Arabidopsis thaliana: one gene and its partners. The protein of the gene in region 3 interacts with the protein of the main gene of each other region in a pairwise test. Each region holds a gene or a part of one and is shown on either strand. Other genes may lie near its edges.

The links.
Region 1: the proteins of AT1G72180 (region 3) and WAV2 interact in a protein complementation assay, tested with the Arabidopsis thaliana proteins (one large-scale study listed by BioGRID).
Region 2: the proteins of AT1G72180 (region 3) and AT5G39990 interact in a protein complementation assay, tested with the Arabidopsis thaliana proteins (one large-scale study listed by BioGRID).
Region 4: the proteins of AT1G72180 (region 3) and CHX20 interact in a protein complementation assay, tested with the Arabidopsis thaliana proteins (one large-scale study listed by BioGRID).

The regions. Positions count from the first base shown.
Region 1 is NC_003076.8:6,942,430-6,948,056, forward strand, and holds WAV2 (alpha/beta-Hydrolases superfamily protein), read right to left. Parts: upstream 4,086-5,627; 5' UTR 3,887-4,085; coding exon 3,649-3,886; intron 3,360-3,648; coding exon 3,324-3,359; intron 3,194-3,323; coding exon 3,115-3,193; intron 3,004-3,114; coding exon 2,949-3,003; intron 2,857-2,948; coding exon 2,740-2,856; intron 2,043-2,739; coding exon 1,878-2,042; intron 1,457-1,877; coding exon 1,228-1,456; intron 1,115-1,227; coding exon 1,107-1,114; 3' UTR 526-1,106; downstream 1-525. Other genes in the region: AL5 (alfin-like 5), read right to left, coding at 85-117, 318-417; BRXL4 (BREVIS RADIX-like 4), read left to right, coding at 5,514-5,612. UniProt on the Arabidopsis thaliana protein: Involved in the regulation of root growth. Involved in the suppression of the root bending in response to touch stimuli, gravity and light. Negatively regulates stimulus-induced root bending through inhibition of root tip rotation.
Region 2 is NC_003076.8:16,002,367-16,007,356, reverse strand, and holds AT5G39990 (Core-2/I-branching beta-1,6-N-acetylglucosaminyltransferase family protein), read right to left. Parts: upstream 3,105-4,990; 5' UTR 2,864-3,104; coding exon 2,227-2,863; intron 2,142-2,226; coding exon 2,066-2,141; intron 1,969-2,065; coding exon 1,853-1,968; intron 1,444-1,852; coding exon 929-1,443; 3' UTR 534-928; downstream 1-533. Other genes in the region: AT5G39980 (Tetratricopeptide repeat (TPR)-like superfamily protein), read left to right, coding at 4,285-4,990. UniProt on the Arabidopsis thaliana protein: Beta-glucuronosyltransferase involved in the biosynthesis of type II arabinogalactan (AG). Modifies both the beta-1,6-linked galactan and beta-1,3-linked galactan present in type II AG.
Region 3 is NC_003070.9:27,161,135-27,167,969, reverse strand, and holds AT1G72180 (Leucine-rich receptor-like protein kinase family protein), read right to left. Parts: upstream 5,151-6,835; 5' UTR 4,795-5,150; intron 3,974-4,794; 5' UTR 3,897-3,973; coding exon 1,534-3,896; intron 1,431-1,533; coding exon 1,222-1,430; intron 1,128-1,221; coding exon 766-1,127; 3' UTR 540-765; downstream 1-539. Other genes in the region: AT1G72190 (D-isomer specific 2-hydroxyacid dehydrogenase family protein), read left to right, coding at 1-12, 139-351, 444-512. UniProt on the Arabidopsis thaliana protein: Receptor kinase involved in the perception of C-terminally encoded plant signaling peptide (CEP) and subsequent regulation of root and shoot development.
Region 4 is NC_003074.8:19,905,090-19,911,890, forward strand, and holds CHX20 (cation/H+ exchanger 20), read right to left. Parts: upstream 5,138-6,801; 5' UTR 4,939-5,137; coding exon 4,759-4,938; exon of another isoform or gene 4,657-4,758; coding exon 3,622-4,656; intron 2,359-3,621; coding exon 2,122-2,358; intron 1,898-2,121; coding exon 1,184-1,897; intron 1,100-1,183; coding exon 737-1,099; 3' UTR 502-736; downstream 1-501. Other genes in the region: AGD6 (ARF-GAP domain 6), read right to left, coding at 1-330. UniProt on the Arabidopsis thaliana protein: Operates as a K(+)/H(+) antiporter that maintains K(+) homeostasis in guard cells and could regulate pH. Plays a critical role in osmoregulation through the control of stomates opening.

The DNA of each region.
Region 1 (5,627 bases), on a different chromosome or scaffold from region 3:
CATCTCAACTTTGCATATTCAAAATCAGGAATAACTGAAACAGCTTGAGAGCATACTTAAGGCTAGAGAGAGAAAAAAGCTAACCAGGGTCGCATTGCTGGAAAAAATCTTCCACATCTGCAAAAAAAAGAAATTAATTGTTCTTAATTCGAAGAACTAAGCATCATCAACACAATCCATAACACTAGAGCACAATTGTTGAAAAAGGGTCTAAATAAAGCCACCAAACGATCGTCATGAGAAGAATTCCCACGAAAAACTCAAAACCCATAAGAAAAGTTTCAAACTTTAAAAAGCAAAGAGAAGAAAGAAGAGACCAGTGGTGAGAGCTTGGATGATGCCAGCTCGACGGCCCTTAAAATCTCGAAAGACTTCTTCGACAGTTCGAGGGCTGTAGTGCGCAGTTCCTCCTTCCATGTCCGTCTCTCCTCTCTCGGAAACGATGAAAGAACAGTGAGGTTTGCTTCTTTTTTTTTTCTAAAGCAGAATTTTTGTTCTTAAGTGATAAAGTAAGAAAACTTAATGCAGACTAAAAAGTTGCCCCGTGGACAGTGACCGACCCGGTCTAGTCACAACACTTATTTAAAAATAAAAATACATAAATAATGGACATTAATAATGTCTTCGTGCGTTTAGTTTGGTGTTATCTCATTTTCAAACATAATCAAGTTTGTCGGGAAAAAAACTACTCTACAGATTTCATAAATATTATGAATGACAGACGTAATCAACACATTCAAGATATAATCATATAACCATGTCTTTTTTCACTTTTCTCAATCATCTACAAAGCCATGATCATCCAGAGGAAATAGTTACGATCAGATGAGAAACACCAACAACAATTGGAAAAAAAATAACCCAAAAAAAAGAAGGAAAACTGAGACGAAGCAAATGCATCTGATTAGCTTACACTTGCCATCTCCACTAGCTGGTTCTGCTTACAAAAGTTCCTGTCCAATATCTCACTCTCTGAACAAGTTGTATCTGTCACTCCCAAATGCAACATACGTATACACATGCTTATAACAAACAATACCGTCGTTTCAGGTTGCAATAGGAAATAAGTGAGTCGAATCTTCCTCTAAACACAGCATCGTTGATCGTTACCTTCCTGTCATCAGATTAGAGACCAACGTCAAGCCTAGTATTCTACTTTGGGAAAAACATCCCAAGAAACATCTCTGTAAAACAAAATTGTTACTTATACTTGGTAGATCATCTTACCTGTATCTTCTTTCCTTTTCTCAGGCGCATACTTTTCGAGAAATTGCAAGTTTGTTTTCCAGTAAACTTCACCACCAGACAGCCATGTATCCATATGCATCCCACTTGGAAACTCCACAAATGTGCACTGAGGGTTACGGGCAGCCGCTTTCGCATACAGCATTTTCATGTGAAATGGAGGGACCATCTCATCTTGCAGTCCAGAGAGGAAAAGCACTGGTTGTTTGATCTGTCATTGTTGCAAGATCAGTTTATCACAGGTTGCTACAGAAAATCAAACGATGAGACATTTTTTTAACAGGGATATGTTTTTAGCAGCACATCAAGCTCCTTTCTTGTTTCCTTTCAAGTTTTACTCCATAGAACAAATCAGGGAGCAATCAATCAGCTTGCGGCATACATGAATAATTTTATAGTTCGGGTTAGCTTATCATGAATTCAACATATTCCGCAAAGATATATACACTATGTCCCGTTAAAAGGAAATGAAGGAATGCAAATGCATGAGATATATTAATATATATGCCAGTGAGGTCATTGGGGTACCATAGTGTTTTTTGCTTAAATGAGTCATTTTATGGCATATGCAAACAGTAAACGAAAAGAATCCATCTAACATCTATCTGCAAGAGTCTACATTTGCATCTTACCTCAGCAATAGCATCAATTGTTTTCCAGGGAGAACGTACAACAAAATTAAGAAGCTTCAGGCTTTTCGTACCACTTCCTCCAATAAACCACTTCAAGAACGGCAGCAAAACGCCAGCCATATCAAGAATGGATGTGAAAGTATTTTCCAGAATCAATGCAGATACCTATATAGCGACATTGAGAAATGGTAAACATACAACTATAAGGCGTGTGGATATCAAATGAAATACTGGAAGTAGAGACAACAAGAACAAAAATAATAGCTTAATCAAGGCATCTACAAATTTCATTTACCAAGAAATTTTCTGAGAAGGATAAGGTTCTTGTGCATATAATAGTAAATATCAGTGGGGGTGATAAAAGGAGGCCTATAACAAAGCTCAAACGAATACCCCTATCAACCAGGTTCTTTTATTGCCAGATGACTAAAACTTTAACACAAAAAATAATTATATTCAGATAGTACAAACCGCGTAGATTGTTACTGATGATAAGTGACTAGAATCTAAATAAAGAGGTACTCTAGAAATTTTTATACAATTGGACTCCAGGTCATCTGCCAAAGACCATGAGTTATAATAATTTGCAACAGTAACCAGAATCTCATTAATATACTGATAAGAAGCCATCCAAACCAAGCCCCTAGAGGAGAGAGGAAGGTGCCCTTAGGCGTTATAATTTATAAGGCATTTGTTAGTCTCATTCGTAACCATGTGGGACTCTCAATAATACTTCTCCCTTTAAACAGTAACATCCACAGAGCTGGCGGCTGGTACTTGGCCTATACTGTCTCTCTTCTAATAAAATATACATTTTCCCTACTCATGAAATGCTACCAATAGCAATATGTACTAATAGTACCTTATCTGGATTGTTTTTGGTAAGCACAGCTCCAACAGCTCCCCCAAGGGACCTTCCAAATACAACTATTCTAGATGTATCAATGTCAGTCCTTCCAGAAAGGTGATCCAATGCAGCCTAACAAAAAATATCAGGCAAGAAAATGGATAATGAATACATGGAGACGCAACAGAAGAGATATGTGGATAAATTTAGGGAGACAAGCAAACCTGAGCATCTTTTATGATACCTTGTTGTGAAGGATAGCCTTCACTTGCCCCATAGCTGGTTGCACGGGAAAATCAATAAGCATTGTATAAACAGATCCAAGGTTTAGACTCAAAAACAAACAATTTATATAAGAGATAGACCAGAAACCAGCAAACTGAAACTAACCCGCGATATGAAAGCATGAATACATTGCACTTCAATTTTTGTATCATGATGCGAACCATCTCCAGACGATGAGCGATGTCTGGGATTCTAAGGTCAAGGTCGTAACAAGACAAAGTATCCCAGCTAACAGACATGGAACATAAAATAGGTTCCTTAGAGCATACAAATATAAACAAACAAAAACCAAGAAATGGCTCTGGAAAGGATACTTCCAGCGTTCTCCTGGAAAAATAAAATGGTTGGACCTGCATGCCAAACATAAACTATTAGAAAGACTTCGAATTAGGCTAAAGCTACCAACCACAAGCAACTAGATTTTAGGTGACAGATAAGTTCCAAACTAAAGCTAAAATGACTTAGGGATCACAAATCTGAGAAAAGGAATCCAAAACCTAGCTAAAGACAGAGACATCAAGACCTAAAATCCCTCAAAATTCAGTAGATTCAAAAGCTTATTCGAAAATGTAAAATCAAATCTACCAGGAAAAAAAAACTGAATCGAAAGGAGACTCAATGATCAAAGAGAGTGTGGACCTCGACATTCAGGGAACATCTTGATGAACCAAGCGTGGAGACGTACACCATCGGATGATTGAAGCCAAATATCTTCGTAGATGAGATTGAGCCTAGCGGGAGTGATCGGATAAGACTTGCTTAAACCCGGAAGCACTGGGACGTACACAAGCTTCTCCTGGAAAGCCACGAGCAGCGCCACTCCGGCGACGACTATCCCTCCGAATCCGTAGAACAACGCGCTCACGTACGTCACCATTTCCTCTGGTTCTGCTAAAGGAGCAGATTCCAAATCCAAATCCGAATCCGAAACAGAAGAAGAAGCAAAAATCGAACGCACTTTTGCAACTTTCTATCTGTTTCTCTCGTGGATTTTGCTTTTCTTCTTCAGAGGGGAGAAAAAGAGCTTCTTCGTTTCTTTTTTTAAGTTTACAGGTGAGAAGGATTGAGACAGAGTTTCACTGGGCCGAAACTAAAGCCCATCTATGCGCTAAACCCAAACCGATTTTGAGTCTTCACCATAAGAAAATGTAGCTCTATTTGGTGGTCTAAATTGTTCATTTGCGAGTCCACCAACAATACTCAAATATGACATTTCCCGATGAACTCTAATCAATAGTTCGGCTAAGTTGTAAAGTTTGTACTCAACAATTATATAGATTATTCTACAGTTTCTATCTTGATTTTTATATAATAGTAACTTGATTTTTGTTTGTATCGCGAAGTTATTTGCTTAAATGAGTTAAGTAAAATCATTGTCATGCATTTTGAAATGTTGTAAGAAACTTAGCAAAAAAAAACTTAAATATATTGTAAACAAGCACAAACCATTTTGACCTCTTTAATAATATTATAATAGTTTTGGGAAAAACGAAATTTTGTGGATAAGATCTTGGTACATACAAATTTGTATATGAAATAATAAAAGTGGAGAAGAGACCAATTTATCTTAGTGACCCTAGTGTAATGTTTCAGAAAGGTTATATTGACACTCAACGATAACAAGACCATAGTGGCTGGTCGAAAAAAAAGAAAAATACTGAAGAGTTGTTTGTAAACTAAACAAGTCTTGGACCACCACCCTTTGCCAAAACATTTTAATTTTCAGTTTAGTACATTACCAAATTTACAACAACAACAACAACAACAAAAATACTTACACTATTAATATTTTCGAGTCGTTGGATCATTATTCACTTGAAATGTAATGTAGACGAAGACGTCACATACATAAATATTGTCGGACGGAACATATTGCTATCCTTAAATTAAATGTCAATGAGTTGCCATCAGAAGCGTTATGAACAACACACTACAGTACCCATTTAATGAATAATGCTAAGAACAACTTTTTATTATTGTGATCTAGCTTAGAACCACACATAATAAATTATTTCGTTTTAGGTTTCTCAAAAGTCAGAGTCAAATTTTGCATACATATCGATTAACTTCAAATCTTGCAGCACACTTGGCTACTTGAGTGTGAAGAACGACCTTTGATACCTCTGAAAGTCTAAATCCACAGGCCAAAAATCATGTATATAGTCTAACCTCTGTACAAGTTTAGCTAATCAGTAAACAAACAAAAATGATTTACCTTACCTTATGCAAGACCAAAACTTTTTACTTTTTTCACTTTCGAAATTTTAACCACCGGATTGCGTAATTACCGTAGTGAGACGCGGAACCTTTATTGGAAACCGGTAATCCCGGTTTAAAGTTTCTTAAGCAGAAATTATAAAAAAAAAGAGAGAATAAAACATAAAAAGAGCACCGAACCCAAACCAAAGTAGAAGAAACTGACACCATCTCTGTCTCTCTCTCTCCGTATCCAAAAAGAGAAAGAAAAAAAATCTCAAATCAAAGACCAAGCCAGTCACCGGAAAATGCTGACGTGTATAGCTCGTTCGAAGCGAGCAGGCGATGAATCCTCCGGTCAACCAGACGATCCAGATTCTAAAAACGCCAAATCTCTAACATCTCAGGTAAATTGAAATAAA
Region 2 (4,990 bases), on a different chromosome or scaffold from region 3:
ATTAATAAACCAAATATATGTTAAACTGGTAAATGTTCTACATAAATAGCATCATTAGAATTTAGTATTTACAAAGTACAAACAAAACCTAGCACTACGGGGTCTTGAATTTGTATGAATTTGCTTCTTTTGTCTTAAGGTGTAATCTAATCTGGTTATACTTCAATCCATATTTGTCTGAATCCTAGCACTATGAGGTTAAACTTCAAAATCTATCTTTAAAATGACTTGCTTGCATGAAGATAAACAGATAGAAAGTTTTGAAAGGTATGGTTTTCCAATATGAAAACTTTTTCCTTCAAAACTTTCTTCTTTTATTAAACATTGTGGTCGTATTGTTAGTGCTGATCATCAAAACGTTGAGACGAAGTTTCTAGATGAACAAAAGAATTCCTCAAAAATCTTAACATGTGTATATCTAAGGAGACAAGTCAGTGGAGTGGGAAAGAAAACCAATAAAGATATCAAACCGGTGTATTCAATATCCGGTTTTGATCTTGAAATTGTAAAACTGATGGGAACAACTAACAAGTACAAATAGTTGGTTGATGATTTTTACTGTTTGACGCAATTTTGTTCTATGAGCTTAAAATGCTTCTTATGTTTCTTTTTACTAGTGCATGAATGCAATGTTTGGGTTTAACTTAACTACAAAATAAGAAGTTGAAAGGAAGAAACTAACTTTAAAACAGCAGAGTACAAAATCTCAAAATTCCAATCTGAGAACTACAACAAGACCTTAAGGCATGTTGTGTGGAGCAACAAGACAAATACTTCCCACATCATATAGCCTAATTGTTCTGTATTTCTTCACTTATATTCTTGACTAAAAGAGGGATTTCTATCAGATCCTAAATCACATCTAACCCCAATAATCAAGGCTGCTACATTCCATCTCTATGTGATGTCGTTCTCTAGATATATCAGATCACTTACACTGTTTTGATCGGAAATTCTCAGTGGATAATAACGAAGTTACCAGATTCTCGAGCCGTCTAGCGCCTGGACCAGGCCTGATAACATCAGTATCACCAATAACAGCACAAGGGTCACTCCCATTCTCATGGCTTCCAATGCACCAACCGCCAGGTGTTATCATCCCAGGACCTCTGTTAAGGAGCTCATCATCGATCTTGTCAAGGACAGGATCTTCTCTTCTGAACTTTCTAGCAAACGGGGCATTGCTATTTACCATTTTGGTCATGTCTGTAAGAGTGAGATGGTGTGGATGCTGCTTAGGCGGATTGTCCCACGATATGAAGTGCAGGTCGCTATTTACCGTTGTGTTTCTGAATTCCTCAGCGTTGCAGAGAACAGTGTGAAAATATCCTTCTGGAGAAGAGAGAAAATTCGAGTAATACATTAAGACCGTACGAGGTAGATTATCCCAACCCCATATACAATAGTCGACGAATGGCCGAGATAACGCCATCCAAGCAGAGCCTGTTCCCAAGAATCACATGTTAGTTAAAGAGAATCTGAAATTGTAACGATGTGAGAATCATAGACTCTGAAGAAAAGTCTTCCCAACAATCAAAGGCAAAACTTAAAACCAACTTCTTAGTATAATATTGCAGATCTTATCAAATGTTCTAATCTAAGCATAATGATTCCACGTTGTTCAACCAATGAGAAATGGAGCAAATCTGAGAAGCACCGACCGAACTAAACAGCTACATAGAGACAACCAATCAAAACAAGTCTGTGAATTGCTCAGAGATTATAAAGATTTTCCTAGCAATCTAAGTATGATGAGTCAGTGTTTCATCCAACTAAACATGAATCAAATCATAGCAATTTCAGAGATGATTATAGTGTAACAAACCGAGTAGGCTTTAGAGGGATCAAGCACCTGTGAAAAGCTTGAATGCTGTTGGGATGCTCCGTCTTTGCGTAACCCAAAAAACATCAGATTTCTTGTTCAAATACAGTCCAGGATCTATAATCACCGGTTTTGCTCTTTGTGATCTAAAAGAAACCAGATCAAAACAACAACAAAATCAGAGTTCCTTCTACTATACGAAACAAAAGACACAGAAAACAAAAACTCTAAAACTCTTCTTACGCTTTCCATCCAATGTTACTAGTATGATCAATGAAGTTCAAATCCCGCGGCAAATGCGAAAAGATATGCAACAAATCTGACACACAAAAAGGTCAAATCTTTAGTGAACAATCATAACTAAAAGTTTCAATTTTTCTCAAACAATTCCTCAGAAACCTCACCATCTTGAGTCACTAAAGGATAGTCAGAAGAGCTAAGATTGATAAACCAATCCCAATCAGCTCCTTCTCTAAGCAAAATCGCAGCGGCGTGAAGTGTATTGGCAACCATAGTAGGTCCACGATACGTGACAAGATTAGCTTTCTCAATCATATGAACATTCATAAACCTTCGAAACAAAGACGAGTTTTTGATATATCCATGAAGCTCCTCTCTCTCCTCACGCGAAGATTCTCTATCTAAATGAACAACATACCGATTATTCGGATGGTAAAGAGCCAAAAGAGTTCGCCGGAGAGATTTCCCGTCGCCGGCGGATCCAGAAATCAAGTAAGCAAAACGCGGTGGCGACGGGAGTGATGAGATTTGTTGAGGTTTGATTTTGGATTCAACGAAAGCTGATGAACCAGATCCGGTTAACAAAACGGGTCGGGTAAAAGGGAGAAATCGGACTCCTCCGGTTGGTGAAGTTAGGGTTGTTGTGAGGAAGAGTAAGAACAAAGCGAAGATTGAACCAATCAATAGAGGGAAAAATATCCATTTCCTCTCTGAAGAAACAATGTTGCTATGATGATGGTGATGATGATGGTGATTCTGATGATGTCTCACATTTGAGTAATAGCTTCTCAATTTCTTCATCGAATCCTTATAAAAAAAAATGGTCAATTCAAAGTTTGACACATTTTTTCGTTACAAAAGAAGAAAACCCATTTTTAAAAACTGAAACTTTTGGAGGAAATTGAGATTTTTGCAGATTAGGGTTTTGGTTTTTTTTGATCAATGAGATTGAAGAAATAACGTTAGTAAGAGAATAGAGAGATTGAAGAAGGAGGAACTGAAGAAGAAGGAAATAACGAAAAGAGAAAGATTACTACTGGTCAAGAGCATTAAAACCAGATCAGATCTTAGTAGGTAGGAAATAAAATGAAATCTGGAATCTATGTGATGGGCCACTATAAAGCCCATAAACTTGGAACACATAATAAGTCAACCAAGGACTTTATTCGTTAGACACAAATAGAGAAGTAACCAGTGATAACTAATTTAGACTTTCGAGGGTGTGTGTCCATTTCAGACAATGATGGATATCCGGTTGTATACATGTTAGGAAAGTACATTCTGTTACTTTTACAATTATTATCTGAATTTTTATTAGAGTAAATGTTGGTTTTAGATCTTTGCTTTTAAAGGAGGTACATAACCATTTTTATCTCATAATCTTCATCGAGATTTACCCAAACGTTTTAGTTTATATACCTTAAGTGTGTTGTGTTTTCAGATTAACAAAAGAATGTCGTTGTGAATTGGAAAAAATAATCAAATTCTAGGATTTTGATGTAGGATCAACAACAATTAAAATTTCCGCCATCATTTGATACATCTTCTCAATAGACTCTTCTTCCATTTCGATTTCAAAAGACATAGCTAACAAAATACATAAAGCAGTGAATCTAAATGAGTCTTGTCATTGTTCTTAACTTCTGATTTGATCTTTTCCACGAATTTATCAATAGTAGATTTTCATTTTAGCGTGAAATTTGGTCCGTAAATAAGAACTGATAATTGATACCAGATATTTAAGATTTATAAATTTGTTTTATTGTGTATAACCCGGAGAAGGTTGTCGGATAAATCGGTATTAGATACTTATTTAAAAGCTATAACTTACAGGTTCGAGTCTACATATCTTTTAAAGACATATCATCATATATGTGTTCGCTTAACTTAGCACTGTAACAATGTTGGCTAACACTAATTAATTTGACTCTTGTTTTTGCACAAATTTTAGATATGAAATTTAAATATTTTTTTGGTTTGGGTTATAGTTTACTCTACAAATATATTTAGGTACGAAAACACATTTTACGAATTGTACGTAACTACGGATATGAAAATACCTTATCTCCATTGGTTAAGCTTTACTTTGCTTTTGAGAGATAGAGATGAGCTTAAATTTTGCTGACTCTCAACTCTGATATATTACTTATAAATAGACTGTCGATGAGGCTGGAAACTAAAATTTAACGTACTTTTGTTTTTAAAAAAATCCTTTGTGTAAGATGTACATAGAAATTGCTTCATCTTCTTCACTTTCTCTTCCATTATTACCCTTAACCAGACCTCATATCTACACTTCGATACCCTTCTCCACCATTCCTGAAGCTAGACAACGCAATCTCATCTTCACAGTCTCTGCTTCTTCTTCTTCAGAATCCACACAAAACAAAAAGGTATGGAGAAAACAACCGGAGAAGAACACTACGTCGTCGTTTCAGGCCTTAAGGAAACATCGGAGGTATCAAAGATCTGCTTTTCTCGACCACAACGTCGATATGGACGAGCTTTTAGCTTCAATTCACCAGACCCAGAACGAAAAAGAGCTTTTTTCTTTGCTTTCAACTTACAAAGACAGACAATTATCTATACGGTTCATGGTCTCTCTTCTTTCTCGAGAAAATGATTGGCAGAGATCATTGGCATTGCTCGATTGGGTTCATGAGGAAGCCAAATACACACCTTCTGTGTTCGCCTACAATGTTGTTCTTCGAAATGTGTTGAGAGCTAAGCAGTTTGATATTGCACACGGACTGTTCGACGAAATGCGTCAGAGAGCTCTTGCCCCTGATAGGTATACTTATTCAACGCTAATTACCTCGTTTGGTAAAGAGGGTATGTTTGATTCTGCTTTGTCTTGGCTTCAAAAGATGGAACAAGACCGTGTTTCTGGTGACCTTGTTTTGTATAGCAACCTCATTGAGCTTTCTA
Region 3 (6,835 bases):
TCAATGAAAAAGGTGATTACCGGGGCTATTCATATTTGGAAAAACCGAGTTGAATTTTTTTTTTTTTTTTTTGTCGTCAACGGAGTTGAATTATTTTGTGATTACTGGTGACTGTTGACTTCTCTTTGGTTGTTTCAGGGTGCTCTTCTTGTAAATATTGCCCGAGGTGGTCTTATTAACTATGAATCAGCTTTCCAGAATCTGGAGTCCGGTCATCTAGGAGGCCTTGGGATTGATGTGGCGTGGTCTGAGCCGTTTGATCCAAATGATCCTATTTTGAAGTTCAAAAACGTTATAATAACCCCTCATGTCGCTGGAGTTACCGAATATTCATATAGGTCCATGGCCAAGGTAAACTCATCCAAGGAAGATTCACTCTTTCTGATATGTCTTCTGCATTTGGTTGGAAATGGATTCTAAACTCTTACTGTTGTTAAATGTAGATTGTCGGAGACCTCGCGCTTCAGTTGCATGAAGGACTTCCTCTCACCGGAATCGAATTCGTCAATTAAGAGGTAACATTTTCGTGTATTATCGTCACAAGAATAATATCCTGTAACACACACCCACAGTAGTTAATATAAATTAATCCAAGTCTCTTTCTGATAACTCCGACCTTTCACTGCAAACTTTTTAGTACAACGGATTAGTAAATAAGCAAAAACCAATCTCTCGTACTTTTACTCAAGTCTCGAACAAACTGATACTTCTTTGACCAGTGACTAGTCTTAACCATAACTAAAACGTGGTAGGTGAATCATCAATCTATACTGTAATCTTTCCAGTTGTGTCTTGAGAATTGGAGACACAGGGATCAGCGTCGTCAAGCTTTCTCACGACCTCTCTCATACTCGGTCTGAGATTCGGGAGCTTCGTAGTGCAGAGAAGACCCATCTTCAGAACTCTAATCATGCTTTCTTCTATATAAGTGGACAAAACTTGCTTGTCCAAAACATTTTGAAGGTTCCTCGGATCTTGTTGAATCTGAGAGTAGACATAGTCAACAATGTCTTTCCCCTCTCCAAACTCGTCTTCCATAGGCCGAAGACCGGTAACTAGCTCTAGAAGAACCACACCGAAGCTGTACACATCACTCTTTTCCGTTGCCTTGAAGGAGTAAGCCAGCTCTGCAGTGATCATATCACACAATTACAACAAAAAAGAATCAGTTCCCAGTTTTCATCTTGTGAACCAAAGTTTATAGTTAAGTTGGAAACTCACCAGGAGCCATATAGCCATGAGTTCCAGCAACGCAGCTCCATTCATATCCTTTGTCTGCAACTTTTGCAACTCCAAAATCTGCGATTTTCGACTCATAATCTCCGTCAAGTAAAATGTTGCTTGACTTTATATCTCTGTGAATGATGGGTGGACAACAATCATGATGCAAATATGCGATTCCTTTTGCCGCTCCCACCGCAATTTTATATCTGTTTATCCAACAAAAAGGGACAAATTAATCACTTTTCTTTCTTATAATCTTGGATCCATGATTAACCATTTTGAAACTGGTTCTTATTGACTAGAGAGTACCTTTTGAGCCAATCCAGTTCTGGTAGACCGCCTTTAATATTGTTGCCAAGAGCTTGATACAAGTTCCCATTCTCCATGAACTCAAACACCAAATATCTAGAACCTCTTCCAACCAAACAAGCGTAGAGTTTCAACACGTTTCTGTGTCTAATCTTTCCAAGAATCTCCATCTCCGCAACAGAGACCTCTGTTCCATCACCTTCTTCTCCTCCTCCTCTCTTCAACCACTTAACCGCCACTGTCCCGCCACCTTTTTTCAAATCAACACGGTACACTTTTCCTGCACTTCCAGATCCAATCACATGATCTTCATCCAATCTACAAATCTCATCAACGTCCAACTCCATTTGATGAAAAGACGCGATTTTCCACTTCGCATCCGCCTTGTTGATATCTCTGTTTTCCGAATCAAGCTCACGTATCTTCACAACTCTGTAACGCAACGCGAACAAACCACTCACTAGTACTACCACAACAATTGCAAGAGCCAAGAACAAGAGTGTTCCATCGAGTGAACTATTCCTCTTCACGTTTTGGTAGCCACTGCAAATACTCAACCCCAAGTTCTGATTTGTTTTAGCGTTCTCTTTATCAACACAGAGCTTCTCGTTACGTGAGAACGCGGTGGATCCTCCCACCGCTAAAAGATCCGGTGGTATTCTTCCTGAAAGTTGATTTCCAGACAAGTCAATGAAACTCAGCTTCAACTTCACAAGACTCGCCGGGATTTCACCTGTTAGCCTATTCCCTGAGAAATCCAACGAGTTTAAAGAAGCAATCTGAGATAAACTGTTAGGGATTTCTCCGGTCAAGAAGTTCTTAGCGAGATTCAGATCAACAAGTTTGACACAATTCTTCAATTCCTTAGGGATAAATCCTGTTAATGAATTGTTTTCAAGATGCAGAGATGATAACTCTTTCAAATCTCCAACTTCCATCGGAATTTCGCCGGAAAGATTGTTGTTGCTCAGATAAATCCTCTCTATATTAGTCAATCTTCCGAGCTCACGAGGAATCTTGCCGGAAAATCTGTTGTTCTGTAAAATGAGCTGACTCAGTTCTGTTGAAAGTCCAATCTGAGGAGAAACCTCTCCGGTGAGTTCGTTATCGCTGAGATCAATCATCTTAGCAAGCGGTAGAGACCAGAATCCTTCAACAACTTGACCACTTAGACGGTTGTTGTTAATCCTTAGTCTCAATAGAGATTTGCACTCGCCGTAAGATCTCGGAATCTCGCCGGAAAACTCGTTCTGCAAGGCGAGCAAGAATTGTAGTTTCTTGTTTTGGCATAAGAATCTTGGAAATGGACCAGTAAACTCGTTTTCAGATATATCAACCGTGTCGAGCGGCGAGAACCGGCCGATGTTAACCGGAAATTCACCGGAGAAGTTGTTTCTATAAATCGAAAGAGAAGTGAGGTGACTTAGATCGCCGAAACCAGAAGGAAATTCGCCGGTGAAGTTGTTTTCATGACAGTGGAAAACTCTGAGCTCCTTCAAAACTCCGAGTTCTTCAGGTAAAACCCCGCTCAACTGATTCGAAGAGATGTCGAATTCGCGTAAACGAGTCAAGTTCTTTATCTCCGGAGGGATTTTACCTGTTAAGCTGTTGTTGAACAACTCAATCTTGGTGAGATTTACCAATCTTGAGATTAAGATTGGGAAATCATCGGAGATTGCGTTGTTCGCGATGTCGAAAGTGTCGAGAGCATTCAGATCAAAGATCGAGTTTGGAATCTTCCCGGTCAAGTTGGAGCGAGCTAAGAACAGCCAAGTAAGTTTCTTTAAACCTCCAATACTCTCAGGAATTATACCTTCTTCGTAGTGATTGTTGCCAAGACCGAGAGAAACCAACTGATTCATATTCCCAATCCAGCTTTGAAACTCTCCGTTAAGAAAATTCCCGGAGATGTCGAGAATTTCTAGGGACTTTAGAGGAGAAAGGTTTGGGATTGTTCCGGAGAGTCTGTTGGAGGTGAGATTGAGAACTTTAAGGTTTTTGCAGTTGACTATCTCTGGCGGGATTCTTCCGGAGATGAAGTTAGATGGAAGCGATAGCGTAGAGAGCTTTGTGAGAGCTGAGATTGATGGAGAAATGGTGCCGGAGAGATTTACGTTTCCTAGAGAAATACCGATGACTTCGCCGGATAACGGGTCGCATGTGATGCCGCGAAACACGCATGGTGAATCGGAAGGCTTCCAAGATTGTAGAATGTTGTGAGAGTCGTCGAGGCGGTTTTTGAAGCGAAACAGAGCTTGTTTCTCAACGGTCGATTCAACATTCGGCGGGAAAATGAAGAGGAGAAACGTGGCAGCCACGGTGGCGACCACGCTGCCACGTAGGAGGTCTGGTCTTCTCGACATTTATAGTGATTCCCAAGGGCAAAACGGTCAATTTGTAGTTTAGGTGTTGATCATGGTCGATGCACTGGAATTCCCACCTACATAGAAAAATAAAGATATGAAATCAACAAACTAACCACTATACAATTAATAATCCACTCAAAATAAATTTGATATTTTAATGTATGGGATTTTCATAGTATTATGGTTTTCCAATTGTGTTTACTGTTTATTATTATTATATTCTATGCACGTATATTACTATATATATAAAAAATCAATCATAGCAAAGATTTTGTAAGAAGAATGGGTGCATGTGATTTGTGAACAGTTTTGTATAAATCATAAATTAGTTGTGATACATTTATACATCATGTATGGTAGATGGACATATTAAGCTTGCTTAAGTACACAAACTCCAAAAGTGAGCTTTAAAGGTACTCATTACAGTGCAGAAAGTTTATTATCCTTCTCCTAAATTTTCAGTTTCTTAATTATTTTGTTTGAAAGTAAAGCAAATGATCTATCTTTACTCTCTCTCTCTCCTTCTAAATCTGTGAATATAAACTTTAAAAGCATTGAATTTTAATGAAAAAAGAACAACACAACATTGAGAATTGAGTATCTATCAAGGATTAATGATTAAAAAGGTAATTAAATAAACAATCAAGTTAAAAATGAGTCATGCAGATTGTAGTTAGTGGATAAAGTAATTATGTTATTAGTAGAGCTAGTAACCTACACATTTGAAAATTTGAAATTTATAGAAACTTTTTCACAGAATCTATCCTTTAAATCTTTGGAAATAAAACAACCTTAGATTGAGTAAAGAAAACAAATATGTGAGGCTTAAAGATTCAAAACTTAAAACCAAGAAAAGCAACGGGATTAAACAAAATATAATGAAGAATTATCGTACCTGAAATAGATGAAACCTATCCAAAATCTCAGGTTAGTGAATGGATGATCCTTCTTAAATTTGAGAGATTTCAAACAAAGACAGGGGAGATGATTTTGATTTGTGGTTTCTGGTAAGAAAAAAGGAATGAACCTTTTTGTGTGATTTTCTTGGACCACGTTCTAGGAAAATCTCTAGGAAACAACAAAAAGCAGAAGAAGTCCTAATTTCGAGGAAGTTCTTCGATTATCAACTTAATTTAGTTTCTCTCAAAAGATAGAATTCGATGAAGAACAGTTCCAGAGAAAGATGTCTCCAAGAAATACGAAAGAGAGAGAGATTTGAGAAGAGAGGAGAGAGGAAAGAGAAGTGAGAAGAGACAAGAGAAAGTTGTCGTCGAGACTTGGAGCCAAAAAGGTTAAATCATTTATCAAAAAATCAACTATTTCTCTAGCTAGCTTCTCTCACCATACAATTCATGTTCGTGAAAGTTGTAAAAACTTTTAAAGTTAATAAAAATCATCTGACTATACTGATTTTGACATATAATATGTTATGATGATCTTTCTTTATAGTTAGCGTCGCTCTCAGGTTAAGAAAATCCAACGGTGCTTATATAGTTTTCTAATATATAAAAGAGGATCAACAACAGACATTGACCTAAAAAATTAGTTTCATGGATGTAGAAAAACATTCATCTTTCGGTTAATGTTTCTAGATGGATTGATAATAAGTGGAGATTCATTGTAATAAAACATTTTAAAATTTATTATTATAATGATACGTCATTGTCTGGAAAATAATCTTATTTGATATTTGTTTTTGTCATAGCGATAATTGTTCCTATTGGAATTAGTAGCAACTACTAGTTGTATATGTCCAAAACGTTACGTGAAAACATTTACATTCATATAGTTCCTATATATAAGATGATAAAAATAAAAGTGAAAAAATATTACTAGTATATAATTAGGAAATGCTGATTTATTGGATTTTACTTTTAAAGTGGAGATCAATTACAATAAATAATGAAAGCTTGGAGAAACCTATGAAGGTTACTAGAAAAAAATAAGCAACGAATCGTATTGATCCCAAATAGTTAGGCCGAAAAAAAAAACATTTTTGGTTTCTTCTGTAGTGTTAATATTCGTTTACAGTCTGGAAAATAAATTAAAATTAAAGAACCAAAAAAGAAAGAGAGAACTAAAATGTTGTTGGGTCGATTACCCTTTTAAGTGAAGTTTGATAAGAATCGTCTAACCTACTCAATGTCCTTTTCTTTCTACATCCATCTCTCTAATGTTATCCCCTTATGCTCCGAATCCCATTCTGATTTATCTCCAAGTTTTATATCACATATTTATTATGAAAACTTATAATTGCTTATTCTCTTTCTGATTGATATCAATGTGTGATGGCCTTGGGTCCTATGGCATCGTTTAGCCACTAAAAGTTAAAACACAAATTAAAGGACCATAATACAGTAAAATATTTAGAAACGGTAATAGATAGTGAAATGGTTAGTATATGATGATTATGTGGTTATAAATGTACCCCTTTCACTGAATCACTTTGTTTTCATGCTCACTTCACTCGATTGGTAATTATTCAAACTTACAAATGAAATTCCATAAAGTTATGGCCCTTACAAGGTTATCATCCTACATGTTAGAATAGTATATAGTATGTTGCTTCTTTATTTTATTAAGAAAAATCTAAGATAATGATTTAAAAAGTGAGACAATACACGAGAAAGAAATCAGAGACAGTCAATAACAAAAACAAAAAGTAGATGAGAATACTATAAAAAAAAAATCCCCCCATACATTTGGCCAAAATCAATAATACTAACATAGTTTTTTTAAGAGTATACAAAATGGAATTTTAGCTATTGCAAGAAAAAAAAAAAACTTCTCTTTAGTTGTTTAAATACTAATACTTTCTACTGAATAATAAAGTATTAACCGTGATACCTAATAAATTTTCTTGTGTCGGTTTAAATGGGAAGAGATACGGTTTAATAAAGGGATATGTGAGTGAGAATCAAAAGATCTTTGATTTG
Region 4 (6,801 bases), on a different chromosome or scaffold from region 3:
CCGGTCACGATACACAGAAGCAGCGTTCGAATTGTACTTGGAGATAATATCTGTCTCCTTAGCGATTCCGTATTGCGCGAAGAATTTGTTGAGCCGTTCGTTACCACCAGCTTCCATTTTCTTAATCTGGATCGCAGACCATGAATCCATGGTTACGGATCTGACGAAGGATATGTGAACGCCTAAGCCTCGGTGTTTCCCGGAGCATTCCAAACACATGAAGATTCCGTACGAAACCGACGCCCATTGAGGATTCTTCTGAGCGCAATCGACACATACCTTGTTTTCAGGCTGAGATTGGAGAGTTCGTAATTGTCTCGTCGCCGCCATGTTTCCCGGAGCTCCGAACGATGATCAATCCAACCTGAATCAGATCTAATCCAAATCTCGCAGACTTGTGCTGCTCAGATTGATGCGTTTTTTTTTCTTTTCCGTTTTTTCTCTTCTTCCTAATAAATGTTCGGGGTTTTTTTTGGTACGTGTCTCTGGCACGTGAGAGGTTTCCGGTAGTTTCTCAAATGGCCCAAATGATAATTGTATTTACTATTTAGTCCAAATATGAAATTATATGTAGACGATGCCCAAGATGCCCAATCATGGTTATTTATATGTAGACGATCTTACAATTCTTACTCAAGAGCTATCTATATATTGTAGATAAACTACATCTTCAACTAACCACTTTAACCATGCATTAAGCCGAAGTTTAAGTACTAGATCAATTTATTTATTGTTATCATACATTTGTGTCTCCGTTAATACTTAGAGAAGACTCACTAACAATTTTGGAAACCGTAATATCCTCTACATGAGCTTTGTTGTGTTGTTGAACCACAAGGATTGATGGAATGATGTGGTTGATCGAAGAGGCGAGCACGTCTCCGATAGGACCTAACTCAGGATGTTCAGCTTGACGCTCAGCTAATGCCGCCACCTCGGCCGACGGTATCCTCCCTCTTCCAACCACTATTAGATCAAAGTCTTTACTCTGTCCTATTGACAGTATTTCTTCAATGATGTTGTTTGGTTCCTTTTCTTTGTACTCCACCATTTCTTTCCATTTGCTCTTGAAGTCTTCCAATGCCCCTTCGTCTAATTCCTATAATTATTTTTCCAAGAAAGAAAGCTATAGTTATATTTGTCATAACTGGTATATAAACATAGGGGATCAAAAGAGATTTACCTTTTCTTTTTCTGGATCCACGTTGGTTGTTAAAAAGGCATAGTTCTTCTCCTTGCCTTTAGACGGTGCCGGTCGTAAAGTGACGGCGGTACTCCTCAACGTTTCTCTTACCAAAAACCTAATAACGGTAACTTTAACGGCCGGATGCTCAGCCATTCTCCCGCCGAGCTCTATAGACTCACGGTCATCAGGCCCACCAAAGAAAATCACACAAACCCTTTCAACCACATTCGACCCATCTAAGCTCAAAGTTTGGGCCTCAATGGACCCAAGTCCACGGTCTACAAGAACCGCCACCGAACACGGCGCATTCTTCAAAACCCTTTGGTTAACCAATCGCCAACCATGACCAACGTTTTCCGGTACGTTTCCATCTCCTCCTCCGTCTTGGTGGTGGTGGCTATGACCATGATCAGCGTTCCATCGTTTGTGGAAAGGTAAAATGATCATTGTGACCCTCTTGGTATCTGCCATGTGGCAAATGTCTTCGTGCATTGTGGGTAATGGAGAGACTGCGGTGATGGGCCGGACTGCGACCCGGCCTAGTTGACGATAGGCTTCGAAGCCTCCTATGACGTTGCTGTGACGCTCACCATGACGGTAACGGTGAACGAAAGGAAGTCCGTTTTTACGGGCTCTTTGCACCATTATGATTGACGAAGACCGTTCCGTTAGTTCCATCAGATGCATCACAAACAGCTTTAGCCGTAGTATCTGCCAAAACAAATACGACTTTTTAAATTATTAACCAAGATTATAAATTATTACCCAGCTGATTTTTAATTTTAACTATACAAAATGTGTGTAATTATACGTAGGATACATTTTCATTGAGCATTTCAATGATATCTTAATTTTCTGATATAACTCTTATCATAGATTTACAAATTTAAATATAGATTATTGTAACGTAAAAATATAAAAGAAAGGTAATTTACCTTGGTGGTTCGGATGGACTCGACGAGAGAGATGAGGGAGGAGACATTGGCTGGGCCGTGGAGGCAGGCTAGGATGCGAAGCTCTTCCTTGGTGGAGTCTTGGCTCGCCGACAAGTCTTTTAGTTTGCGGTGGGTGCCACGTGCCGGCTTGTAAATGGCCATTACAGTAGGCGTCGTTATGAACGTTGTGAAGAGTGCCATTAGCACTAGTATTGCAAACGTCTCGTCGTTTAGTACCTGGTTAAAGTCAACCCCGCGTACAAACAGTTTAATTAAAAATAACCACACTTACTACATTAATGGGTAATCATTATTTCACTTTATTGTTGCATTATGAAGAAGATCATAAATCTGCAAGTGGATCAGTAAGTGACGATTACGTAAACATTGGCCCATTCGAAAAGGTATATTCGTATAAAGTTTTCATGCAGAAAAAAAAATAAAAATAAAGTTTTCATGCATGCATATATATGACTAGTCCTTAATTGATCAGTTTTTCTTTATTACCCCAAAACAATAAGAAACGCCTTTATAATAAAAGTGTAGTATATAACTATAATCTTTGTTGGGAAGACACGTTTAAACAAAAAATTTTATATACTACATATTTCCAGAAGCATTATAGTATAATCTTGCACATATATTTAAGATAAAAATGTTTATTTCGGAGGTGACAAAAGAATCACGGACTAATGTTTTGAAGCTACCATTGCTAACTGCATCATCTTCGATGCACATAGTAAACTTAGCTATCAAATTGCAACCGTGTCCATCAGTCTATGATTAATGAACTGCAGATTTGTATTATGGTGACTAATATTACTATACAACGGTTGAGAGCAAACCTAGCTATCAAATTGCAACCGTGTCTATTATAGTGATAGTAAACCTAGCAGCCCGGCTCAATATTTTATTGGGCCCTGTGCTACAAACAAAAATAGCCCTTAAATCTAAACAAAATAACTTTATGTGACATGTGTTTACTGTATTTTTATTTTAAACTTATTATCTTTTATTTTGGTGGTTGTTTTTTTTGTAGTTTTCCCCTTAAAAAAAAAAAAACTGCAAACTAGAAGACTTAAAATTAAGAAAAAAAAATGAGGACCCTGTGTACTAGCACCTCTGGCACTCCCCTAGAGCCGGGCCTGCCTAGCTATCAATTTGAATTTATACAACGGTTGGTTAATGTTCAAATAAAACATAAGCAATTTTACTATTCCGGATCCCCGACCAGCCTACCAATATTGAGCGGACCGGACGCATATACACATGGATCCAACTAGAACCTAAATTTTTAAATATATCTAAACACCCTAAAATAAAGGTATAGATGCGATTAAATCAATATAATAATCGTATTTTGTTTTATATGCTTTATCCACTAAACATGATCAAATAACTTTAGTGTTACTAGGTTTTTTATATTTATAATATTCATCAGATAACTAAAAGCGTAAACAAGAACCTTAAAAAATCAGAAAAAAGGAAGACAAAACTAACCTTTTTCTCCTTGCCTATGTTGAGTACAATGAGCTCCACTAAACCTTTAGTATTCATCAAGAAACCAAGTGTCAACGCCTCTCTCGCCGGAACTTTAACCATCACCGCCACAACAAAAGTTCCGACTATCTTCCCGGCACAAGCCGTAACAACAACAAGACCCAACATCCCCCACGACTCAGCTCCTCTAATCTTAGCCACGTCAGTCTTCAAACCACTCGTAGCGAAATAAAGCGGTAAGAGTAAACCGGAAACAAAATCCTCAATTCGTTCAATCAATCGCTGACCAAACTCTCCATCTTTCGGTATAGTCAAACCGAAAACAAACGCTCCAAAAATCGAATGAATCCCAATTAAATCCGTCGCGAAACCGGAAACCATAACACCGGCTAACGTCAAACACACGTAAGACTCGCGTACGACGTCGTTTTCAGGAGATCCACGTTTCGCGACCCATTTCATTCCGGGTCGGATCACAACCAACATAAAAACCACAAACCCAGCGCCCGATAACAAAACCCACAACGACACTAACGGACTCTTTTTCTCTCCACCTCCCTCACCGCCATTACCCGCTAACGCAACCGCTAAAGCGAGTAAAATCCACGCGGCTACATCGTTAAAAGCGGCTGCAGCCATCGCGGTTTCTCCTATCTGAGTCGTTAAAAGCTTGAGCTCTGCTAAAATACGCGCAAGTACCGGAAAAGCTGTGATCGAGAGTGCGACTCCCATGAAAACGAGAAACTCGGCGTAACCTGGTTTATCCGCGGCGGTGTAGAGAGTGTTACGGATCACAAACGCGACTCCGACGCCGGCGATAAACGGTAGTGTAATTCCAGCGACTGCGATTCCGAAAGCGCGTTTGCCGCTTCGTCGGATCGATGATAAATCGAGTTCTAGACCGACGAGGAAGAGGAAGAAGAGAAGTCCTATGCTCGCGACGGATTCGAGTATCGGCATACTCCATTTCGGAAATATACGGTCCATGTACGCCATGTTTCTACCTAAAGCCGATGGTCCTAACAAAATCCCTCCCTGAAGAAGAAGACGATGGCAGAATTGTAAATTAAGAAGATTATTATGGTAAAATTGTAAATAGTTAGTGTGTGTGGGGTTAGAGTGTAATTTTTAACGTACGACAATCTCGGCGATGACTTTGGGTTGACGGAGAGGTTTGAATAAGACGGCGAGGAAGCGACTGACGGCGATGATTAACGCCGTTTGGACGATGAGTAACGGAAAAGCGAAGTTTAAAGGATTGTCGCCTTGCCATACTCCGTTAGATGAGGTTTTCACGGAGGTTATGTTGAAGGGCATTTTGGGGATTTCAAAGGACTCTCTTATCGACGACTTTTTTTTTTTGTTTTGTTCTCGTCTATATTTGGAACATGTGATATAGTTCAAGTATGAAGAAGATATGTGAAGAAATTTATAGGCAAAAATTATAAATGTATTGGTTTGAAGATTCAAAAAAGTAATTATGTTGTTACTTGTAATTTTGGTGCATCTCACGTGTGACTAGACCTTGAGTGGAAGTATTTGGTTTTTTTTTTTTTTCTTATGATATTTGTTTTTTTAGTAGAAAATTTAAAAACCATTAGATTTTGGGTGCTATAATTAGAAACCATCTATGTCTTTGAATTGTTCATGTTTACAATAAAGTATAGAAAGTAAAAATCTACTCAAAAACAATTTGTGGTTGCTATAACTCATTCTTATCAGTTTTATTTCAAGCAAAACTAATAACATAAATTTAGTATTGAGAAGAAAAAAAGAAACAACTCGTCTCACAGACGGAAATTGCAAACTAAAATAAGAGTGGCTTATCACCGAAGCAGGAATCATGTGAGTCAAACGTGGGACGCGAGAGATGGGCGTTGACAAATGCTGCGTCGGCGTGGATGGGTTTTACAAGTGCAACCAAATTGACACGTATCTATGACTTCTCATATATTCCAAAGTATTTCGATATAAGTTGGCAATATTTTCATTAAATAGAGCTGTTGATTTTTCCAAGAAGTGGTATCTCAATTCTGCTTGGTATTTACGACTTTCCTAACTTTTTATCTAGTTTAGATTGTTCGTCAAGTTTGAAATAAAACTGTTGATAATAGCTATGACTATCATATACAGTATGAAAAAATTAAGAGTTAGATTGTGGCAAAGAGACATCTGAAATTGTAGAAATAAAGGATCTAAAGCAGTGGACTGCCTCGAAGATGCTATAAATTTTGTAATCACACTTTATTTCGACCATTTCATGGTTAAGTAATTATGTATGTTTGTGGTTTAAGATTAATATAATGATCACACGGTTTTCTATTAGATGTTTTGGAGCGTTAGTTACTTTTGTGCATATTATCTTAAGGATCTCTCAAATCCGATTGACGCGATAAAAAGGTCACCAAAAGTTATAGACTCGAAATCCATATTTTCTGACCTACCTAATGGTCGAAATATTAGTCCAAGACACATATCCAATGGAAAAAAACTTATTTAAATTTTTTAAGAGAAACTACGTCAATCATATTACTTTTTAAAAGTTTAGATAGTGGGAGAATTCACAAGAATACTGATTACAAAAAAAAAAAAAAAAAAAAAAAAAAAACTGAAAATCACGAGGCGATCGTTATTTCATTTCCCTTTCTATGAAATAGATTTGGACTTTTCATGAAGGCAAGCCAAAAGTGCCAAACAAGTGGTCCTCCAAATTTTGAGGAACAGTTAGTTCAAAACATAGCAAGTTTGGTCTCACCCATCTTTTTTTACATTACAGCTCAAAGATAGAACATTAAAAAAAAAAAGAAAAAAAAAGATTTATAGAGAAGATTCATGAATCTAGCTAGACTATTGTACCTTAAATTGCAGCTCAAAGTCATATTTTGCATGTTGATCAGATATGTCATAAGAGTTATGTCAAATACACTTGTTGTATCTCTTTGTAGAAAATAAGATTGCTAATCCTAATAATTTTGTTGACAAAAAAAAGAAAGAAAAGAATACATCCTCAATTTATAAAGACACTATAGCTTTGACATTGACGACTCACACGCCCAAATAAGGTCGGCAGAGTGAAATTGTCTGTGAAATCATGGTGTTTTAAGTTGTACTGGAACTTGTGTATGAAACAGTCTATAGCAATAATAATGAAAAAGAAACAACACATTTTGCTCCATAGCT